Linked DNA regions of Mus musculus. The protein of the gene in region 1 interacts with the protein of each later gene in a pairwise test. Links are inferred from orthologs where the notes say so. Each region holds a gene or a part of one and is shown on either strand. Other genes may lie near its edges.

Region 1 (2,909 bases):
ATTTGCAGACTGGTCAGGGAGTTCAATGGTAGGGCATATATCTACCGCGAGTGAGTTTTTGGGTTTCTCACTAAGTACTGAAAAGTTAGATAAGTATAAACTAAAAGTGTTGGGCTAATGCCCATGCATTACCTATAGCTCCTGTAATATGTTTCCATTTCATTTACCTAACATTGCTCAGTATATATATGCCTATTCTTACAAATTTTATGCCATAATAAAAACCAGAAATTATGAATCTTATTTCATAACTCATATCCATTTAGATTTACACAGAAGCAAACAATTTGGAATCTTTTTAAGCATCTATTTTTTTCAAATCTACTAAAATTAACTAGACATGGTTGATCCAGTCTATGATTCTGGCACCTGGATGACTGAGACAAGAGATTGCTGAGAGGTCAGTGCCAAGCTGAGTCACCTAATGACATCTAGACCAGCCTTGATCCCAAATAAAAGAATAAATCTACCAAACCCAATGAAGTCACAGTGGCGAGACAATAATTATTTCAAGGATCATTTATTTATCTTTTTTTTTTTACAAAATACAAGAACTTGTTCTGCATGAATATAGAGCATATGAAAAATAATGCACTTTCAGAGTCTAATTGTCAGACATTCAGTTTCTCAACTATTCTCTTGAAGAATTAGCTTTGTTTGGCACTTGGTTTTATATCATAAACAAGGAGGAAGAAAGCTTTTCCCTGTTAATTGAATCAGACCCATAAACATTAACAACTTAAAGATGTAAAATCAGACATTTGCCGCACAAGACTCGTTCTGCAAGGTAACTGATTTGCCTATGATCCTAATGTCTTTCAAGATATAAGAGAAGAAGGCTGGAGGGGAGCTAGGTATGTTCTCTAATGTATCTGCAGCAGTTGATAGTCAATGCAACAGAAGATTTGCTTTGTCTGTGGTACAAGGATATGTCCTATCAGACTCTACTGCATTTTATCTACTTGAACACAAGTAAGCACATACTGATTTTCTCTGTCTGACACAAATGTATAAAAATACAAGAAGCTGGCTGTGTTTGTCAATGGAAAAGCCTATTTTTAATCAGCTAATATGAATGCATTTGCTAAAATTAGTGAAGACAGGAAAAATGACTTAGGGGTAATATATACAGAGTTTCAGTACATTTTATATCCACTTGGTGATTTCAGGCACTGTGGCTGTTCAAGATAAACTATTTCATGGATTAACTTGATAGCAGTTTAATTTTCAGTGCAAGCAAAAGCAAATACCTGCCTAGTGTCACACACATGACCTGGCACAACTGGAATGTTCAAAGCATTTTTTATTTTTAACATCTTCACTCTGGAGACATCTTGAGTAAAAACGTCTTATCAAGTTTGCTCTTGGTAGCAAATTTAATTTTCAGTGCAAGCCAAAGCAAACATCCATCTCCCTCTCTGTCATATATAGGAACAAGTGTATTTGGAATACGTTCGCTTTCTCCAATTTCACTGTGGAAGCATCTTCAATAAAAGGCACTTAGTGTAAACCGTCTATCCATCATGAGACACAGACTCGAGATGCCTGCATTTAATTATACTAAGCCACACTGCCACAGACATCTGCCATGTAAACGATGTTCGGTAAGGTTTGCCATCACAATGGTGCTTTCCTGAGAATGGAGCTGGTCTTTGTAGGTATCATAAGTGTGCGTGCTCAGAGCTGTGGTCACTATCGCGGCTGTCCTCGTTTGCTAGTGAGTCCCCTGTCTGCTGGAGGGTGGCTGCACCGATTCCTGACAGCTCTGACGGAAGAAGCGTTCCCTTTTTCACATTCACCAGTTCCTTTTCTCGGGCAGCAGCTCCTTGCTGTCCCCCTTTGACCCGCTTCCACTTCATTCTCCTGTTCTGGAACCACACTTTCACCTTCAAAGAGAGGGAATAAGTAAGTCAGCAAAGGCAATAGGACCTAGTTGCTCAAGTGCCTGCGCACATACACCATGATGCAGCAATTAGAAAAAACAGGCAGGATTGCAGTGAGTTAGATTGCATGTGCGTAGTAATGGAAAAGGCTTAGTACATTCAAAGAATTATCGTAAATTCCAACACATAACACAAAGTTACAAATAGGCGAGGAAGTTTGCTCGGAAGCATTGGAGTGGAGTTTCTCATCGATCAAATAAAATATTATGTTTACCTCTATCAAAGTTTACACATTCTCTGAAATTCATCTTTGACTTGACAGTAGAATTTTTACAGGTTTATCTGCTGGTAAATCCACCTCTGAAAGCGCACTATTTACTACGAAAGTCCCTTAACTTGGAAAGGCATGAATTATCTCTCAGCACATCCTTTCAGATCGGCGGGGGGCATGGGGGGCATAATTCACCTCAGTAAAGGACCAGATGCTCCTGATTTATATGGAATGGTGTCCCAATAAAACTATCGTGAAGAAGAGTCTCCAGCCCACCACGGCTAAACTGGGGACTGTCTGCAGGACCTAGCACAGTTGGTTTCCTGATACTCTACAGGAAGTCTGTCTTTACTGGTCTTCTTTCTGCTCTTGCCTTTATTAACGTTTACTTCAGAAATATCATTGAACTGTTGCCAAAGAATGCAGCCACAGTAAAAATTCCTCAGTATTTACCTTGCATCCCCCGCCCCTGCCCGGGTGAATACCCAGAAACTTCCTCAAAGGACTCAAGAGAATGTGACAATCCACCTCAGTAAAAAAAAATTCATGAATTCATATTGATTAACTTATTTCACAAGATCTAGATTTGTCAGCACTTTTTTTTTAATACTAGGACTACTTACTATGTCCTTATTTTGAGATTTTTAAAAAACCTCAGCTAACATAAAAGCATCGCCATGTTTATGATCACTTGGCTTCTTTTGTTTGGTATTTTTCCTTCCTGGTTTGCATTCAATTCTTTACACTATTTCTTT
Region 2 (2,736 bases), on another chromosome or scaffold:
TCCATGAAGAGAGGACTTGGTAGTACCTAGTGCTACTGGAAAATGGGGCTGGAGTAGACTAACTTGAGAAACCACTGAACCACACTAGACTTGGAGGGTGTCCAGTGAAGATGACACCATTGGGACAGGGTAGTAGTCTTCAGCTTTTCTGGGTTCTACATCCAGATTCATGGAGGGCTCTTTGACGTAGTTAAGACGCCTCTGCAACAGGAACTGCTTTAGCTGCTAAGTCAGCAGTTTCCAGCTGGGTATGGTAACACACGCCTCTTAATCTCTGCACTCAAAGTAGACGACTATGGCTTGGAGTTCCAGCATAGTGAGTTCCAGGTTAGTCTCAACCACATAGCAAGACCCTGTCTCAATTAAGCTTAATTGTGAGGACGTGTGTTTGATCCCTAGCACCCATGCATAAAAGCCATATACAGTGCCCCGCACCTGTTATCCTAGTGCTGAAGAGGTTAAGACAAGAGAGTCCCTGGGGTTCACTAATCAACCAGCCTAGTTGAATGGACAAGTTCCAGATTCAGTGAGAGACCCTATTTTGAAAAAATAAAAATAAGGTGGAAAGCAACTGAGGAAGATACCCAACATGTACCTCTGAAGACTGGCAAGGAACCTTCCTAGGTCATCAAAGGGCTTCCCTTCCAGTGTCAGGGCTACTCAAGTGTGCACACACACCTCCCTCCCCTCCCTCAGCCATCTGGTCAGTAACCAGGTTGTCTATGCTGACTATCTACATGCAGGTACAGTGTCCCTTTTTCCTAGCAGAGGAACTGGCTATGTGCTCAGTAAATGATAAGAAGCAGGTCAGGGAGAGGAAGAAGCAGAACTAGGGGCTTCAACTGAAAACACAAGTCCTTGCTGGTCAGGCTAGGGACAAAGTGGTAGCAAGTCTAGGAATGGGAAGTACCCTGGATGCTACATGCTGCTCGGCTTCACTGGAAAAGCAGAGATAACTATCACAGCAGTTGGACAAGAGTTCATTCAAATGAAAAACAAAAAGGAGAAGCCCATTCACACTGGCTTTTTGCCTCTACAAAGGTTCTATGGGGGAGATGACATTTACCCCAGTAGCCTAAGAACCAGGAGAATTTGCCCCTAGGCATGTGTCTTGATCCTACCCCCAGGATCAGCGAAGTGGAGCCCAAATACTATGCAGATGGGGAAGATGCGTATGCAATGAAGCGGGACCTCACGCAGATGGCTGATGAGGTAAGAGTTCAGCCAGTCCAGGGCAGCAATTCCAGCAGCAGGGGAGATTCTGTACTTGGGAAAGGTGGCTACTTTAGAGCTGTGAGACTGAGTGAGGCAGTGGTGGCTAGAGGCAAGACCAAGATTGAGTGTCAGCCCTTGTCGTTGTAGAGCCCCTCTTTCCCTCACTTCCTAAGCTGTCAAGTTGTGACATGGCCTCTGTTGACTCTAGAGGGGGCTATGGGATGCTTTCTAGGGAAGAAGCCTGGAGGTGGGTGGAACAGGAGAGAGAGTAGGAAGATATTTTTCTAGGGAGAGGGACTACTAGGGTCAGGGGCAGCCTGCTCAGATTTAGGACTAAACTGGGCTAGGGGGAAAGGGTCTCTGACCAAGCCTCCTGGGGAGGTACTGCTCTGTCTTGGAGGCTCCCCAACAGCACATTTGAGGGCAATAGGACCTTTGTCATTTTACAGATGAGGAAAGCAGGCTTAGGGCAGAGCTAGGATTGAACTACATTTCTACCCAGTCCTATTTCTTGCCTTGGCCCTACCACTTCTCACTGTGTCCCTTCCCCCAGCCAGCCTCAGGGCCTGGCTCCTCTTGTCTCCTGTCTGGAGACTTAGGCCCTGTCTCTTTCCACCCGCTTCCCTCTGGGCTCCTGGCGGCAGCTGAGGCGGCACCTGGAGCTGAAGGAAAAGGGCAAGCACATGGTTCTGGCGGCCTTGGAGAACAAAGCGGAGAACAAAGGCAACGTGCTTCTGAGCTCAGGAGAGGCCTGTCGTGAGGAGAAGGGCCTGGCTGCTGAGGATAGTGGTGGGGACAGCAAGGACCTCAGTGAGGTCAGCGAGACCACAGAGAGCACAGATGTCAAAGACAGCTCAGAGGCCTCTGACTCTGCCTCCTAGAACCTGCCCCACCTGGTCCCAACCTTGCCCCATGTGCTTTTACAATAAATGTCACCCAGTGGCCTTGGGAAATTTGTGAATGTGCATAGTGGGGTATGCTTTTTTTTTTCCAGTTCCTATGTGTCAGGGATACTATCTTCACAGCCTAGACTGTATTGAGCTCACAAGTCAAAACAGATTTGAGGATGGGACCCCAAATCTGACTATCTTCAACAACTGAGTTGAAGTTGGCAGGTAAACTGTTTTGGGTGCTATATTCTTTTTTTGTTTTTTGTTTTTTTCTGGTTTTTCGAGACAGGGTTTCTCTGTGTAGCCTTGGCTGTCCTGGAACTCACTTTGTAGACCAGGCTGGCCTCGAACTCAGAAATCCGTCTGCCTCTGCCTCCCGAGTGCTGGGATTAAAGGTGTGCGCCACTACGCCCGGCTGGGTGCTATATTCTGATGTCACGTGTCTGGCCTATAGGCCTCATTAATGTCCTTTTTGTCCTAATGTAATTTTCTAGGGCTGAACAAAATGATTTCCTGGGCTTTCTAGTCAGCCTCACATTTCAGAGGCAGCTCTCCTACCTTGATGTTCTTTGCTGTACTGCTTTGCCCCCTTATGCCCCTCTCAGCCCTTTACCCTAGGTCATACTTGTTC

What was found. The genes of interacting proteins can lie anywhere in the genome.
Region 2: the proteins of Meox2 (region 1) and Naa10 interact in binary tests that used the Homo sapiens proteins (3 or more experiments, as listed by UniProt). The two-hybrid records come from large-scale screens. The link is inferred for Mus musculus from reciprocal best matches to the Homo sapiens genes MEOX2 and NAA10.

What each region holds. Positions count from the first base shown.
Region 1 is NC_000078.6:37,177,130-37,180,038, reverse strand, and holds the end of Meox2 (homeobox protein MOX-2), read right to left. Parts: intron 1,887-2,909; coding exon 1,662-1,886; 3' UTR 505-1,661; downstream 1-504. UniProt on the Homo sapiens protein: Mesodermal transcription factor that plays a key role in somitogenesis and somitogenesis and limb muscle differentiation. Required during limb development for normal appendicular muscle formation and for the normal regulation of myogenic genes.
Region 2 is NC_000086.7:73,916,319-73,919,054, reverse strand, and holds the end of Naa10 (N-alpha-acetyltransferase 10), read left to right. Parts: intron 1-1,102; exon of another isoform or gene 1,103-1,127; coding exon 1,128-1,212; intron 1,213-1,768; coding exon of another isoform or gene 1,769-1,859; coding exon 1,860-2,096; 3' UTR 2,097-2,185; downstream 2,186-2,736. UniProt on the Homo sapiens protein: Catalytic subunit of N-terminal acetyltransferase complexes which display alpha (N-terminal) acetyltransferase activity. Acetylates amino termini that are devoid of initiator methionine.